Caenorhabditis elegans: one gene and its partners. The protein of the gene in region 3 purifies or fractionates together with the protein of the main gene of each other region. This does not show direct contact. Each region holds a gene or a part of one and is shown on either strand. Other genes may lie near its edges.

The links.
Region 1: the proteins of ddo-2 (region 3) and C45B2.6 fractionate together in Caenorhabditis elegans (co-fractionation; one large-scale study listed by BioGRID). This does not show direct contact.
Region 2: the proteins of ddo-2 (region 3) and gba-4 fractionate together in Caenorhabditis elegans (co-fractionation; one large-scale study listed by BioGRID). This does not show direct contact.
Region 4: the proteins of ddo-2 (region 3) and M142.5 fractionate together in Caenorhabditis elegans (co-fractionation; one large-scale study listed by BioGRID). This does not show direct contact.

Annotation. Positions count from the first base shown.
Region 1 is NC_003284.9:6,051,247-6,057,677, reverse strand, and holds C45B2.6 (phospholipase A2), read right to left. Parts: upstream 4,621-6,431; 5' UTR 4,579-4,620; coding exon 4,462-4,578; intron 4,227-4,461; coding exon 4,110-4,226; intron 4,067-4,109; coding exon 3,837-4,066; intron 3,782-3,836; coding exon 3,607-3,781; intron 3,272-3,606; coding exon 3,160-3,271; intron 3,116-3,159; coding exon 3,025-3,115; intron 2,977-3,024; coding exon 2,880-2,976; intron 2,836-2,879; coding exon 2,751-2,835; intron 2,708-2,750; coding exon 2,438-2,707; intron 2,389-2,437; coding exon 2,132-2,388; intron 2,056-2,131; coding exon 1,802-2,055; intron 1,754-1,801; coding exon 1,483-1,753; intron 932-1,482; coding exon 776-931; intron 727-775; coding exon 670-726; 3' UTR 505-669; downstream 1-504.
Region 2 is NC_003282.8:5,344,872-5,352,547, forward strand, and holds the start of gba-4 (Putative glucosylceramidase 4), read right to left. Parts: upstream 6,027-7,676; 5' UTR 5,968-6,026; coding exon 5,901-5,967; intron 4,551-5,900; exon of another isoform or gene 4,478-4,550; intron 4,059-4,477; exon of another isoform or gene 4,038-4,058; intron 3,851-4,037; exon of another isoform or gene 3,830-3,850; intron 3,691-3,829; exon of another isoform or gene 3,670-3,690; intron 3,425-3,669; exon of another isoform or gene 3,404-3,424; intron 2,950-3,403; exon of another isoform or gene 2,929-2,949; intron 2,817-2,928; coding exon 2,634-2,816; intron 2,346-2,633; exon of another isoform or gene 2,337-2,345; coding exon 2,187-2,336; intron 2,142-2,186; coding exon 1,835-2,141; intron 1,786-1,834; coding exon 1,545-1,785; intron 1,428-1,544; exon of another isoform or gene 1,404-1,427; intron 1,013-1,403; exon of another isoform or gene 992-1,012; intron 728-991; exon of another isoform or gene 703-727; intron 608-702; coding exon 331-607; intron 284-330; exon of another isoform or gene 263-283; intron 196-262; coding exon 1-195. Other genes in the region: Y4C6B.7 (Activin_recp domain-containing protein), read right to left, coding at 6,638-6,712, 6,928-7,033, 7,247-7,326, 7,374-7,425. UniProt on the Caenorhabditis elegans protein: Glucosylceramidase that catalyzes the hydrolysis of glucosylceramides into free ceramides and glucose. C.elegans contains specific sphingoid bases, which are unique or different in structure compared to the sphingoid bases found in other animals.
Region 3 is NC_003283.11:7,432,937-7,436,599, forward strand, and holds ddo-2 (D-aspartate oxidase 2), read right to left. Parts: upstream 2,097-3,663; 5' UTR 2,091-2,096; coding exon 1,909-2,090; exon of another isoform or gene 1,904-1,908; intron 1,667-1,903; coding exon 1,457-1,666; intron 1,412-1,456; coding exon 1,291-1,411; intron 1,187-1,290; coding exon 1,017-1,186; intron 973-1,016; coding exon 855-972; intron 798-854; coding exon 693-797; intron 644-692; coding exon 545-643; 3' UTR 531-544; downstream 1-530. Other genes in the region: F25E5.8 (S39A8 protein), read left to right, coding at 3,006-3,494. UniProt on the Caenorhabditis elegans protein: Selectively catalyzes the oxidative deamination of acidic amino acids. May play a role in the egg-laying events and early development of the worm, in addition to quality control of the germ cells.
Region 4 is NC_003281.10:10,929,272-10,933,295, forward strand, and holds M142.5 (AD domain-containing protein), read left to right. Parts: upstream 1-1,929; 5' UTR 1,930-1,937; coding exon 1,938-2,054; intron 2,055-2,103; coding exon 2,104-2,187; intron 2,188-2,245; coding exon 2,246-2,680; 3' UTR 2,681-3,490; downstream 3,491-4,024.

The DNA of each region.
Region 1 (6,431 bases), on a different chromosome or scaffold from region 3:
AGAATACAACTTCAAATGTTTGAAAAATGAAAACATTATTCGTCCGAAAGTCACAAGTGGAGTGGCTGTGGAGCTATGATACGTGTGATAGTAAGTTGTAAAACGGAAGTTTACACATTCTTTATTGATATTCTGATAAAGTAATTTCGTTTTATCATTCTGATTCAAAAAATCAGACTGATCAAATTAAACCTACTAATCGGAAAAGTGTGGCTGCCGCTGCTGCGCACATGTACTTGGTAGTCTGGGCAACAATAAGGAAAACGGCAAAGTTGGTTTTATTGAACGAAAAAAAGTGCAGACTAGATACGTATGTATATGACAGATGCTATTTTTTCTTTGTATAAGATCAAAGGAGCAAATTCTCTTCACTGATTCTTTGGTTGAGAGAAAAACATTATTATAAAAAAAAGCTGAGTGGCACTGAACGAAAATACTTCTTGATGGATTTTTACCTCTAGTAAAAGACAGAGAAGATAAACAAAAATGGAAATACGACAAAGCTTGAAAAAATATTTACTCGGTTCAAATAGACTTCTATGTATTATGACGGAATGATTTTTCACAACTGAGACTTAGAATGTATACAAAATTATGAACTTATGTGTATTCTCACATATGAGAAAAGCAAAACTAATAGATTATTGAATATCTGCGAGAGGGCTCAAATTATTTGAGAATCGAAGAAAGCATGTACATCTCATTTCGCATTGCGACAGCTTCATACTGCAAAAAGTCAATACATAATGAATCAAATTGTCATCCATTAGGTTACCTTGACAGCGAGCATTGCATCCAGCAACGCACTATCATCCTTCTCGTCAATAGCAACTGGGAATTCAAGGTTTGGAGTGAAACGGAAGAAAGCCATTCCCATGGCTTCAGCCATCCAACGAGCCCGTTCGACGGTTACTCCATCAGCTGCTGTGAGCTGAAAGTGTGGAAAAATGAAAGGTGACAATATAATTAGATGTTTTCCCCGAAAAGGTTGTTAATCCATTCTAGAAAGAAAAAATATTGGAAATAGAAAACAAAATTAACAAAAAATTAAGAAATAACAGTTCCGGTTTATCGAGTGTAAGTCATATACACTCATGTTTTGAACGAAGCTTTAGATTTACGAAGAAAACTTGTCAAATTAGTCCATGTAACTATTTTAGCACCGAAATCACACTTCAAACTAGAATTTGAAACAACCATTTTTGGTTCAAACTAATAAGTCAAAACTCTTTTCAGGATGCGTTTTCAATATGAGAATAAATTGAGATGTTTTCAAGAAACATTCACGTTCGTTGCTAATTATGAAAGGCACCGGTGATTAAAATTAACGTAGTTGGGCTTTTCTGCTATTGAGTTGCCTAATAGTGAGCACACAAACTTTTTGACAACTTTGATTGAATTACATTGACAGACTTATTGATCTGCGCAAAACTTCAAACTTTATTGGCCATTTTTATCTGAAAAGAATTGCTTGCAACTCACCTGCTCAATAAAGACGTCTTTTAAGTGAAGAATCTGGTTGAACGTGTTCACAATTCCACCCATTGTTGTTGGCTTCATCAAGTCAACATTCTCAATTTTCTTTTGCATCGACCCAGTTCCAATTGAAACCATGATCTTTGACACATTACGCTCGTTTCTCTCATATTCCAGGCGTTGACAATCAGTAAGAATGTCAACAGCTGGATTATTAGCGATTAGTCCTCCGTCCATAAACTTTCCATCAACAGGTGGGAAGAATGATGGCGCCGCTCTGAAAAATACGAATCAAAAAGTGCATTTCTGTCCAGCTGTGACTCACGAAGAAGCCCTAACAACTTTTGCAGCTGCCCAGACAGGCTTCATGCCAGCTTGATCAAATGACGGGTCTCTGATGTTATAACTGCGGAACATGTAGAGTAGCGGAGGGCTGATATCGACTCGAGCAACCGGGATACTGATGCGAATACCATTCTTCTCACCGAGTTGCTGGAGCGTATCTCTTCCAAATTCATTTAGAAGAGCATTTTCCAGACCTTCGCCAGAGTATGGTCTGGATCCAATGAAAATATCATCCTGAAAAAATAAGATATTGCAACTAGCACCTGATCTTCCATATCATAATCGCTTTTCTCAATGTTCATTTTCCTACTTTCATTCTGAAATATTGTCTGATGACATGGTCAATATTTCCGTACTTGACCAATCCAAGAGTGATCATTGATCCAGTTGATGTTCCACCGATATGATTGAACCAGCGCAAGAATTTATTTCCAACAACCTTTTCGATCTCCTTCAAAAGCTGAAGAGCCAGAATTCCTTTCATACCACCTCCGTCAATAGACAAAATGACTGAATCTTTCTTGGTCAATGGCGGGAAGTTTTGGCAACGACGATGAGAAGGGTTTTCTGAAAGACGCAGAATGTTATAAAGCGAATAGAAACATATCAAAGTTACCCAGATTGTATTTAATATTTTTCTCTTTTCCTTCTTCAAGTGCTTTGAAGTGTTTTTGCAGAACTTCTGCACATTTACGTCTGGAATTTAGTGCAGCTTTCAAAATTCGGTCGGTGGAATGTCCATCAAACGCCAGAAATGCTTTTACAATATCGACGTCATCTCTTTCAAGAGCATAATCCATTGGAGACATTCCTTTGTTATCAAGCATATTAACATTCGCGCCGTGCGACCAAAGAAGTATGATTGTGCTTAGGTTTCCATTTTTTGCTGAAAAAGTTACGAGTTGCCATTTAAATGTAGTTCAGTTTACCTATATAATGCATTGGTGTGAGTCCGTTCAAATCTTGAGCGTTTATCATTTCAGCTTTGGCAAAACTGAGCATCAACTTTTGGTGCTGGAAATTTGATTAATAAAAACAATATAGTCATTTCAACAAACATCTTTCACGAAATTGTCAAATGTGTGAAACACATTCTTCGAGTTCAAAAGTCTCCCCAAAAAGTCCGAGTCTTGCACGTAGAGAATTCTCAGCACTCTGAAAAACGGTACTAATAAGATAGATACAATCAATGTGGCAACTTACGATTCAAGATCTCTCAGTGAAAATGATGATTTGTTGAGAACATCTGCCGGTGACAATAAGCAATGTGGCAAGTTATTTTTGATTGAGTATTCTGAATATGTTGATAAAGAAAATGTTGTAATTTTTGGTATTCACCTAGAATTTTCTCAAAAGATCGCGGGTAATCGGGAGTTTCGGGCTTGGGATGAGTTTCTGCGGTTATGATCATTTTGTCGCATACTTCTCCGGTAACATGACTGTTGATGTACTGCAAAAATATATTGTTTTCCAAATTTGTTCTTACATTGAAGCATTTTTTTTTTCAAAATATAGAATCGGAAAAACTTGTATACAAATTGAAGCTGCAAAAATCATCCAGCAAAATGATCCGGAGCACAGTTTTCATCTGTACGGATTTTAATTTTTCAGTGAGTCCCACCCATATGCAAGCTTTTTTCGTCAGACTTAACCAATTTCTATAGTTTTCATTTATTGATATAACGCCTATTAATGTCTATTAAGGCATTTGTTTTGTAATTTTCAGCAAAATCCCCCCAAGACACATTTTTCCACCTCGTATCTTTTATTTTAATAAATATTCACCTTTACAATTTCTGGACGATGACGTGCAACTTGCAAAATTGTCTGACCATTATGATTCATTGTCAATGGATCGAAATATTTGTCCCAGACCATTTGAAGTAAACTAAGAGATGCAAATCGAGCGGCAACATGAACGGGAGTATCACCTCTTCTATTTAGTTTTGACATTGAGAAGCTGAAACGGTTCAGTTTTTGTTAACTCAATAAAACTTGATTTGACAGTAACCTACCCATCTCCTTCTTTCTTTTTCTCCTCCTTAACATAATTTGAAAATCCAGAAAAAATCGCAAAATATACTGCTGAGCACTCGGATTGTAATTCCTTTTCTCTCAGCATAACCGGTACCAAATCATTAATGACGTTGATAGGATTGTTCAGATGTGTGATGGATTCGTCAAATTCTTTCCACAAATATTCCAGATCGTCAATGTAAGATGCATTCTTATTGAAATAAACAACCTGGAAAGTTTCTACGTGTATTTTTAATGTTATTTCAGCTTACATAGTTGTTTGGTGTGTAGACAAGTGCATATCCATCACCATATGTAGCTTGTGAAAAGTTCGTAGAAAGCTTTGAGTTGATAGAAAATTTCAAGGTTTTATCCACAGGTCCCGGCCACTGAAAATTGTGCAAATAAATAGGTAAAGGTTTTTAATAATTTAAAAAACCATAATCTGGGAGCACATTTTTGACACATTAAAAAAACATCGTTTTCCTCATCGTTGTGTGGTAGTTTTTTAAACAAAAATTTATAAAAAACTATAGAAAAAATATTTTTTAAATTTATTTTTAGAAAGTGCATGCTCAAGTTTTTTTTTCAATTTTTCATAAACTCAAAATGTTCAAAACTCACCATCGATTGTGCCTGTGGATTGCTGGCTTGAGACGTTGAACCAGCTGCTTTATGTTGAGCATCCGCGTATTCTTTGATTTTATCCTCCACGTTTTGTCGGACTGTGTTCATCGCCATCTGGCCGACGTCACTTTTGGCAAGTTTCATGAAAAAATCCATCTGAAATAACTGTGTTCATAGAAATATGATGTGAAACATGGAACAAACTGGAAATGGAATATAACAACAACAATTAGCATAGGTGTCGTCAAATGTGGTGTCAGGTCCGCATGTACACTTTTGCGGACTTGAGTGCACTATACCACTTCAGATGAGAGGTTTCCGTTTCCTTTTGGTTTTTCTCTAAACAATACAAAAAACGTGTTGAATTTCTAGTAAGAATTCGTTTTTTTTTCTTTTAAACTATTTGTGAATAATTAATGCGTTCTCTGCGGACATTGTTTTCCCGCCCTCACCCTTTGCCCAGACAGTGCATGTGTTCTTATCGATTTGTACAGCTGTTACTTTTTTCGATTTGTTTTTTTTTCTAAATAGAAATGACTTTCAAGTTTTACTGTTGTATTTTGCAGCAAAACTTACAATAAAAAACTATTGACTAATACCCAAAAGTTTCCCACCCAATTCGATGCAATCCATTTAAAAGCCCCCACTTAAATGATAGAAAAGTTACCAGCATCTCGAACAAATCCGGTTTCCGATAGATTCGCTCGATCGTCCATTAACTCAATCCGTGCACTTTTCCCCCTCAGTTCATCCCCATGAACTTTGATCTAAAACTGTTGTTGGTTTGTTTTCAATTCAATTGCTTATTTGGAACCATTTTAAAACTGGGCAAAGAGTCCGTTTTTGCGATCAGAAGATTGTCCTCTTTTTATGGTTTTAGAACTCTCATTAAACGTCAACTTGTGACCTTTCGGAACGTAATTTCGAATGCATGTCTCCTAGTGTTTCCGTTTTTGTTCAATTGCCAAATATCCTTTGTGCCATCCTTTTTCTTTTTACCACTTTGATAGATAACAAATGAAAGACAAAGTTATAAAAGTTGAAAATAATATAATATTTCAAACCTAACAAGATTAATTGGTTAAAAATCTGTTACTTATTTTCGGAATATATCCGTTCCTTTCCTTCATCCACTTTATCAAAGGAATGTGTGTAATCTTTGAAAGTATGCTCCAAAACACTCATTACTCACACACTCTTGTCTCATAAACGTGGTCCCGTTGCTAGATGGTGCCGGCGATGATACAAGAGAGAGAAAGAGACTACAAACGGGAGTGCGTGTGAGACAGCCTAGCTAAATCTACCAATCCTACATTTGACCTTTGCCACGAACCAAGATGGCGTAAGTTGCAGAGGCCTGCACCGTCGATCGTCGAATGTTTACATAACCTATTCATAGAGTTGGTTTTAGATATTCGACTTTTTTATCCCTAGAAACATTTTTGTCGACGCATCATGTAAACTTTGTTTATTAAGTATTACCATATTTTCCCTTTCAGACATGCACCTCCCCCCCCCCCCCCCCCCATTTCTCTACTTTGGCGGCTTTTTTAAGTTTTATTTTTTGAAAAAGTAGAAATTGTTCCCCTCGATAGACTCAAAATGGCCTTAAAACCCAATTTATGAGGAATTTTTCAAAAAAATGTCTAAAAGTTTTACATTAGTCCCCTTTTTTGAAGCTAATTCTGCATGTTTTGGTAAATATTTTTCAGTTCAGTTGATAGAATACTAAATTTGGATAACTATCGATTAGCTATGTACTGAGAATGTACTGAAATATACAGAAAACTTTGGCATAAACAGCCTAAGTACTCAAGAAGTGGTGATAATTGAACGAAAACAATCTACATGCTTCTGCAATAGGTACAAGTTGGTAAGATTCGAACTCACTAATTTACTGTCTATTTCAACTTATCTTCAATTGCGCACTTTTTATGTTACATTCTCCAACTTTGAACACACATTCC
Region 2 (7,676 bases), on a different chromosome or scaffold from region 3:
CTTGATTCAAAAATGAAAGACCCTCAACATCAACTGATTTCTCAATAATGTTTATTCCAACACGAATAGCTCCCGGTTTCACAAATTTACTGAATTGAGCCATTACATGCCAAATTGGTTGTTTGTAGTACTCTTGAGCAGTTGCATTCACGATTATTGTTGAATCGACAAAGTTTTTGGCAAGATTTGGTCCTCCTGGAAAATAAATATTAGAAAACTGTTTCAACCTAGTTATATCAAAGATTTAAAATTCTAAATCTGTTTCTTACTATGGTTTTTGATGTTTTTAAATTAAAAAATCGCAAGTGTTGCTACACTTCACAAACCAACCTTGTAAATCAAGAATATAATTCCAATCAACCCATCCTCCAACCCAATTTCCCATATCTTTAATCAAATCATTTGCATATTGTTCAGCTCTAGACCATGATCCCAATTTTGGTCCATCTGCTGGGAAGTATCCAGCACATGCTTCAGTTGCCAAAAGGAAATAGTCTGGGAACTTCTCGTGAGTTTCAGTGAGTACGGTTGCTGGGTCAATGAAGTCTTCATACCAATGAATTGCAATTCCGTGGACGTATTGAGCAGCAGTTGGATCCGTTAAAATCTAAAATTTTATTTTAAAAGAGTGGGGACGTCGGAATGGGATATGATTTTTAATCAAGGGTTAAAAATTCAAATAGGTAAATTCTGCGGATAACTCTTCCCAAGGCCAAAGAAAGATTGATGGCAATAATAATTTTCTTATATTTATTTTGAATGTAAAACAGCACAAAGTTTGATTATTTTATGTTTTTCCCTACTGTTGCATAACTGTTTCAACAAAACGACAACTCACCACATTTGGCCAATTTGGCAAAATAATTTCCTGATTATCATTCATCATAATCTTCAAATTCTAACAATTAGTCAATAAATACTTCATTACACTTTGTTTCATAATTTACCAAAGACTACGGAAAGCTCAAAAATACCTCAATTTTGATTCCCAAAAACAGTACTTTTGTTTCGACTGTTTTGTTTATAATTTCTATATATATATTTATTTTGAATGTGAAACAGTACAATTTTTGAATATCTGATATGTTTCAATGTTTCAACAAATCCATTTTAGCATTACGTTTCTTATCAGTTTTGCACATTTTGTCGTTCGATTTTAATTTTTTCTAAAACAATTTACACAACTGTTGAACTATTCGGTCAATTCAGTAATAATTGTAGGTGAAAGCGAGTTTTAAAATTAAAATAACCGTTCTAGTGTCTTGATTCGAAAAAAATTCGAAAATACTTAATTACAATGGAGTCTTAATAGTGTTAAAAAACGGTAAGTACCTAATAGAAAACAAAAAAATAAACAAAGGAAAGAGCTATAAAAGTTTTGAAAATTTTCAATAAATAAAAGAGGTTTTGTTTCTCGTATTGGATTACTGTTTTGTTTATAATTTTAATATATTTATTTTGAATGTGAAACAGTATCTAATTAATTTTTAGTCATTCAATCATTTCTACCTATTACTCAATGTTTTATCCCACCAATAACTTACTACATTTGGCCAGTGTGGCAAATTAATTCTCTGATCATCATTAATCATAATCTTCAAATTCTTAGTCACTGGTGATGAAGCAAGTGCTGGTCCCAAAAGTTTCTTTATAAAATTTCGTTCCATTGATGCATCGAAAAAGAGTGTTTGCCATTTCCAAAGTGGATCAATTCCAGTTGTTGGCTCGTTTTGTGGTGTCAAAGACCAAAAGTCAATACCTTGAGCGTGATAGGCTTCGAAGAATCTTTCATTTTATAATTTTATTTTTTATTTCTTTGAAAATAAGAACTTACTTTACAAAGTACTGTGCCCATGTCTGATAGTATTTTCCATTCTGATCTCCCAATAGCTCTCCGGCACCAACCATTCTTCCAGAAGTTTTCATCCATCCTGGGGAGCTCCATGGAGTTGCAAATAGCTTTAATTTCCCTCCAGAAGCTGTCATTGCCTTCTTGATAAATGGAATTTTATACTGGAGATCTTCCACTGTTAAATTGAAATTTTTGAGATCAAAATCAAATTTAACGTCGTCATAACTGTACTCGTGAGTTGAAAAGTCAGTTGAAGCCATTGGAACTCGTCCAAAAACATACCCGAGACCTAAATTATTTATTTTTCAAGCTTAATCTTTTGAAAATAACTTACCATCATCGGAAAAGTATTGCTGAATAATTTGATCTTGCATTGTCTGTGGCAGCATCTTCATATTAATTCCAGCAGCATCAGTGAATGCAGCTCCAAATCCCATTACCGGTTGAAAACTTTGAGTTGTGTTCACATATACTTTTGTTTTGGCTACAAAAACGATGTATCATATCAACAATTGTTACAAAATAATTGTGAAACAGTAGAATAATTTTTTGCCAACTTCAAAATAAAAAAATATCATTCTCTAAATTCTAATATTATAAAGGTTTTTGTGTTAGTTGAGCGGTGCCTGCCTCTCTATCTAAGAGCCTGCCTACCGCCTATTTTGCATCAGTTTCGAACCAGAAGTTACTGATAAGCTTCCGGTGTATTCTGGAGGCAGGCAGACAGGAATGCAGGCAAGAATTCTGTGCCTTCATGGAACTTCCTATACAATTAACGTACCTGTAGAAGAAGTTGTATGCTTCAATTCACTTCTGTTCATTCTTTTTCCATTTCTTGATGTTGTATAGACAACTGCTTTCCCAGAAGTAACAGTTCCAAGTGGTTCAATTGTATCACAATACGTGGCATTGCAACGACAAACTATTCCATACTCTTTCTTCACTTCGGAGCAAGGAAGGGACTCTGGAAATTGGCTTCAGTTGTGTTTAGTTAGTTGGAATGGTTTTGGAAATTGTGCAGGACTACGTGTTTAGAAAATGTCTAAAGCTATTTCCAGTTCTGTAAATTGTGGTTATGAAAATTTTTACCATACGAAATACATATTTCAAATTTTACATTTCATAAATAAATTTGTTGAAACGGAATTTTTTAAAACTGTTTTATCCATGTTTTGCCTGCACATTGCAAGCAATGAATACAATACATTAATTACCGTATTTCTTCTATTAGTCTTGCATATGCAATTATGAAAAAGCTTTTTTTAAAGCATTTTTTCTAAAAAAGTTTCTAAAATAATTTTTTTACAGTCTGCTGCCCATTTAGATTAAAGGATACGAAAATTAATTTTGAAGAAAAATAGTTACGATTAGAAAAATATTAAATTTTGCATTTAGCAGATTGAAACTGAGTTATTTTCCTAAAAAAAATTATAACTGTTATCTGTTATCTATTAATTAAGGTTTGTTAATTGTAAACTCTGATAATTCAAATGTTTGACAATTTGAAAAAATCTGATACATATGTGTATAAGCGTAATGAAATCATTGCTCAAATATTGAAAAAAGATACTATTATCAATTCAATACCAATCCAAAACTCATATTATAACACAGAAACAGTAATTTTTTATTGGGATAACAACAAAAAGTTATGAATTTTTTCTTTTTTTACTTTTTTTTACCTCGGAGCAGTAGAAACTTTTCATGTTGGCAATTATGTTAAGATTGATGTCTACAATGATTTTTGAAATGACAAATTTTTTTTTAAATACCGTTTCACATAATCTTTAGAAGTCTTCAAAAAATATTGTTATCGTTGAATCCAATTTAGATGTAGCAAAACTGACGAATCCGAACTAAGAATTAGGGTCTTAATTTAATCGATTTCTGAGTGCAAAAGTCCAGATTTGTCCGTTTTAGTCACATTTGGTTCGCATTTATTGAAATTTTATAAACGCATTTGAGGACAGTTATATCTAATACATTTTCTTGTTCGCAACAGAATCATAAAAGTGTGGGATTTTAACAGATCATGTTGGAACAGAGTTTTTTTTGTGAAAATAAATATTAAAAAGTTGTAGCTTCAAATGCATTTTTCATGCTCGATATTTGTTTTAATTTGTATTTTTAATTTGTAAAACTTCTGTATCAACTTTCCACAATTTCCACATTTTGTTTAAAAAAAGATTTGTTCGAATTGCACGAATTAAGTAATACAAATACTAACTCAAATATTATACCTCGGAAACGGCAATATTTTTCAATGGGAATTTTTAAATTTTTTTAAATAGAAGTTATTAAATGATTATTGAGAATTCAGTTCCATTGAATTCAGTTCCAGTATTACTGTTTCTCAGTCATGATATGACAATTTGTCATATCATAACTGACTAGGGAGTGCTTTCACTATACGGTGCGATCGAGTAAAAGTAAACGTGTTATGCGATAGCTGGCATCTTAGGCTTTCAGAATCTGTAATTTGTTTCGGCGGAAGACCTCTGTGAGTCTGGAAATTTTCATCTGAAAATGTAGTACTGAAATCAGTTCATTTCCTATGGTTAACAGTGGATTTTGTCTCTGGCGCCAACAGAAGTCTCACCACAATGGTGGAAGGGCGAAATCATCGCTTCGGTGGTCGAGTGGTGAACGCGTTCGCCTCTTGAGCAGAAGTTTGTGGGTTCGGTTCCCACACATGGTTTAAATTTTGGCCTTTTTTATACAAAATTTTTAGAACGGGAAACAAATGTTTAAAACAGTTTTTTGAGGTTTTTACATTACTTTTTTGCTTTTTGATTGAACCACAATTACCCTGGAAACTTTTCAGAAATTTTTATTTTTTTCGAAAATTGCCACTTTTTTCTCCCATGAGAAAATTGGTTCCAAAAATTTTGTTTGAAATTTTTTCAAAAATGTATGAAATATTGTAGAGTGTCACGAATAACTTATTTTTCATTGTTTTCAATGACCGAATCACTGATTCTGATGCCGTATCAAGACGTTTTACCAAATCGATATTGGCAAAACATCTTGTTTTTGAGGCTCCATATCTCTGCAGAAAAAAATCGCACTAAAAGTGATCAACTAGAAACTTGTTAAACACAATGTGATCTAAAACTTTTCAGTTGAACACTTTTTTGTAAAAAATTTGGTTGCCAGGTTGGAACCAATTGATTTGAGCGTCATTATTTTTGAATATTCTAAATAGTTAAAGGTCTATATCTTGGGAACCAAATTTTTTACAAAAAAGTGTTCAACTGAAAAGTTTTAGATCACATTGTGTTTAACAAGTTTCTAGTTGATCACTTTTTAGTGCGATTTTTTCTGCAGAGATATGGAGCCTCAAAAACAAGATGTTTTGCCAATATCGATTTGGTAAAACGTCTTGATACGGCATCAGAATCAGTGATTCGGTCATTGAAAACAATGAAAAATAAGTTATTCGTGACACTCTACAATATTTCATACATTTTTGAAAAAATTTCAAACAAAATTTTTGGAACCAATTTTCTCATGGGAGAAAAAAGTGGCAATTTTCGAAAAAAATAAAAATTTCTGAAAAGTTTCCAGGGTAATTGTGGTTCAATCAAAAAGCAAAAAAGTAATGTAAAAACCTCAAAAAACTGTTTTAAACATTTGTTTCCCGTTCTAAAAATTTTGTATAAAAGAACCCAAAATTTAAACCATGTGTGGGAACCGAACCGACAAACTTCTGCTCAAGAGGCGAACGCGTTCACCACTCGACCACCGAAGCGATGATTTCGCCCTTCCACCATTGTGGTGAGACTTCTGTTGGCGCCAGAGACAAAATCCACTGTTAACCATAGGAAATGAACTGATTTCAGTACTACATTTTCAGATGAAAATTTCCAGACTCACAGAGGTCTTCCGCCGAAACAAATTACAGATTCTGAAAGCCTAAGATGCCAGCTATCGCATAACACGTTTACTTTTACTCGATCGCACCGTATAGTGAAAGCACTCCCTAGTGAGAAACAGTAATATTTTTTTAGAACTTTTCTAAACACTTCCAGGCACTTCTACTACTCACTTGCATCGCTTGAAAATCCATAAAACGCCAGAAATATTAGCAAAGAAACGGATATATTCAAAATCATGATAGCCTAGTCTAGTGTATTCCGTTAAAACCGGACACTTTCCAAGACTACTAATGAATAAATGATAAGAACAATATTTGAAGACACTGACCACGTTTTTATAAAGACTAATCAGTTGGAATATTCTGATCAAAAAATAATTGAAACTGATAAGAAATTATGGAAAAAAGAAGGGAAAACACATAAATTATTGGTTTCAGGCTGCTAACTATGCAGGACATATATAGATAATGACGGGGGCAATGGACAAATCATGGTATGATAAAGTTCGTGGTATGAGCGTGAGTGAGCTACATGTTGTCACCTATAGTGATCTGAAAACAATAAAGAAATTGGAACTTTAACATATTATTAGCAGGTTCAAAAAATTTTACCGTTTCAGTGTTTAAATTTAATTACGTGGGAAAAATTAATGTAATAACACTCTCATGGTATGCTTTTTACTGTCGTTTCATAAAAAAAAAACTTGCACAATTTAATGAGATTTCAATTATAGAAGAAGTACGAGTTGGAACGAACCGTTTTGATGCTTCTGTAAATTTTATTATTTTTTGAAAACTTTGTTAAAAGGCTTTTTTTTTATTTTGAACATTTATTTCATGCAAAATGAACTAATCAGTTAGGGAAAATTTTAAACCATTAGAAAAATAATAAATTTTTTATTAAGAAATCAAGGAAGCTCGACAAAACTGCTCTTCCTGGTTGGAGCGACAGTAGTTGGAATTTGAACGATGTCTTCACTTTTCTGAAAGTTTAAATTTTGCTGTAATTTTAGTGTTATTTAAATAATTTGAAAACTAAAATTTCAACTGAACCATAATAGTTCAGCATTTTGGTTCAAATCAGCAAGCAATTGTTTTAGTCACTTGAAAAAATTACTGTTTCACAAGTTTTACTTGATTTTCAAATTTCATTAGAAAATTGATCTCATCCTATAAAGCAATTTCAATGCACACGAACATTCTTACGGGTTGCTGCAGTTGGCATGATGACGTCACCGAGTTTTGGAGCACTTGGAACAGCTTTCGATTTTGAGCTAGTTTCTCCGGCTTTGAACTCGGTTCCGCTGAAAAAAATTGTTTTAAAAATAGCCAATATATAGATGAAGTCTGCTTTAAGATTTTTCGATTCAACTTTTTTTCTAAAAATGTGTAATGAATCTTTATATATTTTTTTCTTTTTTTCTTTGGAATCTATTTAAAAATTCTTGTAAGTATTTCGTACCTAAAATTTTCGTATTTCCTATTTCAAAAAAGTTTCACAAAAAAAAGTAACTTACTCTCCCTTCCACTCGTTACACTCATCAAACTGGCAGCAACAAAAAGTGGAATCTTTGGTTTGGAAATGGCATCCGGTCATCTAAAATTGATATAAATTGTCTGATGCTCAGAAAAAAATGAACCAACCGGACATTTCTCCTCCATACTGTGCTCATCGCTCCACGAACTGCATTCACGTCTGCAAAATTATTATTATTCTTGGGCGTAATGTTAAGCATGTAATGTTAAACAATTAAATTGAATGAGTTTTAAAGAACATGTGAAACAGAAAAATTTTTATTATTTGAGTTAAAGGAAATCAAGAAAAATTTCATTGTTTCTGTTTTACTGTTTCTGATTAGAAATTAAGAATTCACTTTAATTTTGTTTTACTATTAATAAGCTTGGATCTCAGAGAGATTTTTTAAAAGTTACACACAAAAATGAGCT
Region 3 (3,663 bases):
CACCAGGCGGTGTCCTTAATTTTCTCACACTTTTCGTGGAAATAGACTTCGGTTCGATTCTTATCATACTTGTCACCTATGCGCCTGTATACATGTCAACTTTATTTTGTTTCAACGCAATGTCCCACTTGATCAATTTCTCAATGTCCTCCAATTACAGAAGAACAGTGAAGGAGATGTGGTATTTTGGAAAAAGTAAAGTAGTTGTCACCCCGGTGAATTGAGTGTTCAATAATGAACGAGAAATTAAAAAAATTCAGGCGACTAGGAGCAATATCGCATAAAAATGTTAACTATGTGATGTCTATTGTACCTCCTGAGACTTTTCTAATCGGAGAATTGCAAATCGATGTTTAATTTTTCAACATAAAGTTTTTAGATATTTCCATCATTGAATGGAAACAAAAATCATAATCAGATTGCATGCTGTTGTATCTACTAATTGAAACGCATATAAAAATTTAGTTGTTTTTTTAATTATTCTTATGACCCGTCGAGTCTATTGAAATATAACCTTAATTTACTGAAACCCTTGAACAAATATTTATAATCCTAGTGCAGTCTTAACAAGTTTAGTTGCTTCAATTGCTGTTCCCCAACCCAACGTGAATCCGTTGCTCCCGTGACCATAGTGATGCACAACCTTAAATCAACATTTTGAACACATAAAAAAAGATAATTGTGATACCTACCATATAATCTTTTGAGTTTCCAACAGATGTCCTCTTCTGCGCTTCAATTCTGACATGCTTACGTCCCGGGCGAAGTGCTGACCATTCTTTGATAATCTTTGGCTCCTAAATCATAAATCAACTTTTTCAATCAACTTAAATTTAAAAAAAACTAATTCTCACTCTCATTCCAGGATGTAAAGCAATGTATCGTTTCAAAATATCATTTCTATCCTCGTCGGTGATCTCCAAATCCCATCGATTGTCCTGCTTGGTGGACCCAACCACCACGCTGTGCTCTCTAAAGATTTGGCACATAATATTAATTTATCGGCTTCTACTCACTTTGGAATTGTGAAAGTAGTAAAGTCTCGATAATTGAAGTGCTTGTGCCATGGTGCATCAACTTCCAAAATGACTCCTCTAATGGGGTAGCAAGTATCGTCATCACCAGCCAACTTTCCACCGTACAAGCCTGCGCAGTTTACAATAACATCGTAACCAGCGTCGGCGACCTAGAATGAATTTGTTAGACATTACTCTCCAGGTTATGATGGGTATGGGTTCAGAAATAAGGGAGGGGTGATCTTGTTTTTTGACTTCTCGGTCGCCAACTTACTGCGTCCAAACTCGTCACTTCTTGTTGCTTGAACTCGATTTTTTGCTCAAGCAGCAAATTCTTCAAATAAGGCACGTACTTGTTACCTTCTGATGCGTAGGCGGTGTAGTGAATGCAGTGCCTGAAAGCCACAGTATAGCAAAAGATGTGACGCTAAGAAGCCCACTTTGATGGTTCGGGAAAAATGTCCAGCCGTTCTCTATCATCCAAGAATCTAAAGTTGTACACAATATCGCCATAGGCTCTTTGTTGTTGCTTCAATGACTCCAAGTTGTCGGATTGAATATGTCCAGAAACTAATTTCACGCCGGTTTCGGATCCTTTTGTAGTGCGATAGAGATGTGAGAACCAGGCGAAAGAAGCACGTCCGTATTCACTAAAAATATTACGTTAAAAAAAATATTTTGGTAATAAAATTATTTATTCTAAAGCTATTAATAGCATTTTTGGCCCGTGGCAACACTTTTCTAGGATTTAATATTTTTTTTGTAATTAGTTTTTAATTTGAAAAAAATAGGACTATAAAAAATAGGATAATCAAGCAAGTTTGGTTATCTGTTTGTTATGTTATTCCAATTTTTTCAGAATTTTTTTTATTTATTTATCAAAGAACCTCACGTATTCTCCTCATAATCGATTCTAAATAATCCTGCTGGTCCTGCACTGCACGATTTTTTAAATGGTTTATCGTGGAGCACAGTTATTTTCGCATTTGGTATAGCTTTTGATATTTGAAGTGCTGAAGTACATCCAATGACTCCTTCGCCGATAATTGCAATCTTCGGAATTATGTTTGCCATTTTATTCTGAATTAATTAAGAAATGAAGAAGTCTTTGTTTAGAAATTGCGAAAATATAATAGGAAAATGCGTAGATTTTTGATCATGATGAGAAATAAAGTTCACGTTTGTTAAAATGAACTCACTTTTATACACTTATCTGCTCATCAAAGAACGCACATTCCGACCTCGTGGCTGCTCTCGATAATAGCTGAGAGAGTGGTGAAATGCGAGACGCAGCCAGTTAGAAGGGTTGAAAAATGAAGAGACTATGGCTGAACGGGAGTGAATAAGGCTCCAAAAAACAAAATTCACAGTTCATTTTTTGGATAAGATTCTTGAAACGATGGGAGAAAAATTTTGATGATGATAAAGTTGAAAAAAACCGGGATCTTAAAGGACAGAATTGCATTCAGAATTTTCATTCAGGGTCTTCGTTTTTCTTTCAACTTGTCAATATTTTTTTATTCAAAATGTATATATTTTCTATGCAAAAAAAAAACAACTACTGGGATTCTTAAATGCCTAACAACCTAATTGTAAGGTTAATTTCAGGTAATTTAATGAAAACATGAAAAAATGTACTCTGCCTTAAACAAATATCAGTGATCAACGAATTAGTCAAAACAAGTCCCAAATTATAATTTGAATTAGCACGTACTCAAAACACTCCGGTCAGATTGAAACGTTCAATGAACGAAAGTACCCATACTATATATCTTCTCAAACCCTCCTCCCGCCATCGAAACCAAAGAAGCAAGGACCCCAAATGGGCGGGATTTGGTGACACAAAGAACGATAAGACGGTATTCTATATAACATAGTCATGCGCTAGCGGTTTTGAACGGTATTCCACACTTCTTCGATTTTTTTTCTATTTTTTTAAATGTTTTATTTTTTTTTTTTTATTTATATGATTTTCAGAATCATTCTCAAATGAAAGTCCCTCACGTCATAGCTGAGCTGGTTTCGGAGTTTTCTGGATTTCAGCACACTCCAGATTTTAAAGCGTCAAGGTCAACTGGAAACTTTGAGGAAGGATCTGAAGAAGGTACATCTGGAAGCCATAAACCAGAAGAACATCACCATAAGGAACATCATGGACATTCGTTGTACTTTGGAAAACATTCTGGTAAAAAGCATTTGCCACCGGTTGTTGAAAACGACGGCGACACACATTCCAATCACAGTGATGTGTCCGGGTCGGGATCCTCATTAAAAGAAAAGAAGCATCACGGATTGACTGCTCATTTCAAAGATCTATTTCATATTGGGCACCACCATCATCATCACGGAGAGCATCCACACTCGAAGCAAAATTCTGGAGCTTCTACGCCGGCAAGGAAAAACTCGACTGGAAGTGAATGTCCGTGCTCGAAGCAAGAACAATGTCACAAGCATTCGATTAATATCACTGTTGGAGCGGTAAGTTATCTTTTTCTTTTTAAACTTTTTTTCAACTTTTAGCCACTAATTGAAACATATGCGCCGAGAGTCAAATGCAAAAAGGTTGTGTAGCCTAGAAAAAAAATGTTGTGTAGCCTTAATTTCTCGAAAGTTAAACGCTTTAAAAATCTGAAACTTTTCTGACACG
Region 4 (4,024 bases), on a different chromosome or scaffold from region 3:
GGAAGACGATGAAATAAAAGAGCAATTGACAGATGGTCGCTGCTGCCGGGCTCCCCAAGTTATCGAGATTTATCTAAATTTTTTGCAGAATTTTTTTAGGAAAGTGATGGTGGAGGGGAGAGTTTTTAGAAATTACATGAAAGTTGCCGAAGATTATAAATTCGTACACTTGTATACAGGCAATTTGAATTTCCCGCTAAAAATGTTCTCAAAAATATGAACTTCAGTCAAAAAAATTGCTGAAAATAGGAGCGTGTTTCAGCGCGCAATACGCAATTCAGGTGCACCTAAAACTGTTTTTCAAAATTGGAGAAAAACTTAGAAATACATTTAAAAAATTACAGTCAACACAATATTCTGGCATTTCGAAAAAAAAAGCTGCCAAATTTTCCAAATTCACAGGCAGGCAGGCAGGCGTGTTAACGCTTACATGGAAGCCCTACAAAAACAATGAATTTTCTTTGCGACTATAGTATACTGTAATTAATTAAATGCTCTTCTCTTAAAAAAACGAACTATAAGTAAGCTAAACTCTAATTGCTTTTAGTTATAAAACACTCCTTATTTCTCAATTTATGACTGAGACTCTCTCCTTCTTCTCCAATTTGAGGTACAAGACAAAATTGATGATGGCTCATAAAGTGTATGTATACTACTTCGATATGCTCCACCGATCTCCTCCTCATTTCATGATTAGTGTCTGTGTGTCTGTGTCCTTGGACACCATTTAGAGCAGCAGTAGGAGCAGCAGATGATGATAGATGACTACGCGGGAAACAACAGGCGTCTTAACTCTCAAGTACTGTGATTTGCATAAAAGTTCGCCGGGCAGCAGCAATGAATTATGTGTTGTGCGGGGGCAGAGGGTTTATGAAATTTATAAAACACATATGCTACATGTTGAGGGGGTTTTGCCACGTGGCAGGGCGGGAAACCAAGAAATTTGAACTTCTTCGACAAAAAATCTCCTCTTGAATCAAACCTGTTTTTTAATGCGAAAAAAAAACGAAAAAAAACCAGTCTTATTACAGGAACACGAAATTCTGAGAATGCGTATTGCACAAAATATCTCGTAGCGAAAACTACAGTAATTTCTTTAAATGACTACTGTAGAGCTTGTGTCGAATTACGGGCTCGATTTTTGAATAGTGACTTTAGAATTGTTTTCTCTTTTTTTTTGATTGATTTTATTATTTCATCTACATATAAATAAATTCTATTAATTCATTTCGAAAATGGAGACCTTAAATCGAAACTACAGTAGTCTTTAAATAATTACTGTAGTTTTTGCTGCGAGATATTTTGCGCGTCAAATGTTGCGCAATAATACGCATTCTCAGAATTTTGTGTTCCCGTAATAAGTATTTGAGTAAAATTAAATGAACATAAAATTTAAGAGCATGACATTTCATGAAAAAGGGTTTTTTTCACGAAAACTAATGGGGAAAACATTTTCAGAGTGAAACAAGCATAATTGATTGACTCCGAGCTCGGATCCGAGGTTATTGCATTTGCATTTCACACTTTTTCGATGGAAAATATTTTTTTTTCGAATATTGATGCAGATTTCCAGATTTTCGCTGAAAATTCATTTTCCATTTCGGTTTCAGGTCACTTTTTGCACGCGGTTCTTGAATTTTAACTCATTTTTCCACGAGAATTTCATTTTTTAAACAATAATCATTGATTTCTTGAACTTTTGCCGCGCGGCCAGCATCGCTTCGTATCGTGTAATTCCCCTCAAAAATCACGACAAACAAATGTTCAGTGTGGGTTCGCAACGGAGCGCACATGCTGACACCTCCCTTTTTCGTCTTTTTCCATCGGCGCCGCAGCATTTATCGACCCGTTTTTGTGCAGTTTCTTGTTTTTAATGCATTTTTTGTTTCAAAATTTTGAAAATAATTATTTTAAAACAATATAGTTGTCTTTGCAGCATGGCTTCGTGTAATCTGACAGCGTCAAACGTTGCGATCGGCGCCTGCGTCGAAATCGAGACGACGAATGGCTTGAGCGCCCGGGGAGTGGTAATTTCGTTCGACACGACTCGCAAGGTAAGAGAATTATCGATTTATTGAATTATTTATTAACCAAAAGCCAAAGTTTCAGGTTTTGGTTCTCGACACCAAGGAAATGGCGATTAACAAGCCAATGATTCGCATTTTCAACTCGGAGCACTTGAAAAATGTGAGTTTTTTCTGGCAAAAATCGGTACTTTGATATTAATAATTAATATTAATTTCAGATAAAAGTGTTAAGTGAAGCTCTCGAGGAAAGCGAGAAATTCGCGCGCGCCAAAACCGAGCAATTCGCCCAGAACAATCCGGTAAACGGTACACGGACCACCGAACGGCTCGACAAAACTCTCGGCGAGCTCACACCGAATCTAATGAAATCACCAGCAATATCGATTCGTGGACAACAAGCCTATCTGCAATTGAAGCGCACAATTCCGGATACATGTTGGTGTGGCGAGGATATCCGTGTGCTCGGGCTCGTGTTGGTTCACAAGCCCTACGAGGTGTCCGACGTGACAAAAGATGCAAAAGCGACAGGATTCGATGAATCGCGTGCCGAAAGTGCCGTACTTCAAGTTCAGAAAATTCTCTCAAAACCAATGACCGAGTATACGGCACGTGCTCCGCTTGATTTCACTATTGGAGCTATTGTGGCCAACTAGTTATCGATTTTTTCCCATTTTTGTATATTTTTTGTCCTAAGGCTGATGGGTTTAAAGAAAAGAGTGGGGAAAATCAAGAAAATCTCTATTTAAACCCATAAAAAGTAACATTTCGAGAATTTAAACTCGAAAATTAATTAATTCTGTGAAAATCGACAAAATTCCGTTTTGAATCGATTTTATTCAGGATTTTTTTAAAATTTAATCTTCAAACTTGAATTAACTGAATTTGAAGCCGATTTAAAAAAAAATCTCGAATTCTTCTATTGAAAATTTCAACGATTTTTAATAATTAAAATTCAAAAAAAAAATCTGATTAAAAAAAAACTTCGTGAAAATCTATTTAATTCTGAAAAATTCGATATTTTTCTTCATTTTTTCTGTGATTCCCGATAATTTCCAATCGTCTTCGAGAAAATGTAATTTTAATCGATTTAATCGACTTAAAAAATTTTCAAAACAAGAAAAAAATCAAGAAAACGTCGTTTTTCAACAAATTAGGTCGAAAATGTTGTATTTTCTCCGTTTTTAATTCAAAAAAAAAATCGATTTTCTTGCTATTTCCCCCTAAAAATCGATTTTTCGAATAAAAATTCATCAGCCGCGGGTCTCGTTTTTCAGGTATCTCTGTCCCTTTCAATATATATATATATATTTTCTCTTCCAAATCAACCAATTCTTCATTGCATTTGAACCTTTTCTCAGCATTTTTCTCCTTTTTTTTTTTTAGTTTTTTTAAATTTGAAATTGCCCCCCGTCCTCAATTATTTATTAAATTCCGCCCTAAAATATAATATATATTTAATTTTTTTCGTAGTTTTTTCTGTTTTTTCTGTGAAAGAATGGGTTAAATTACCATTTTATATCTTTTTTAAATCATTATTTTCTAAAATTGCTCGTTAAAAATTCTGAAATGGCAGTTTGAAAGCATTAAAAATCGATTTTTAAGCTAATTTTCGATTTCTGTGAATTTTTATTTCAAAAAAATCTGAATTTACGAATTTTTGAGCTATTTTTCACATTTTTGCATTCGAAAAAACACGAAAAATTGCCCAAATATTACAGGAATTCCAAAAAAAAAATTAAATAAAGAAATACCGGTTATTTGCTAAATTTAAATTTATTTTTAAAAATAAAAATTGATTTTTTTAAAGAAAAACTGGTTTAGAGAATCTGGTTTAGAGAGCTTTTTCAATAAAAAAATTATTATAAATTTTTTCAACAAAAAAAATTAATTTTAAAGCCGATTTGTTTGAAATTTCAATTTAAAAAAGTGATTTTTAAGCTATTTTTAACATTTTTGCAATCAAAATATCCTAAAAATCGCTGATTTTCACTAAAATA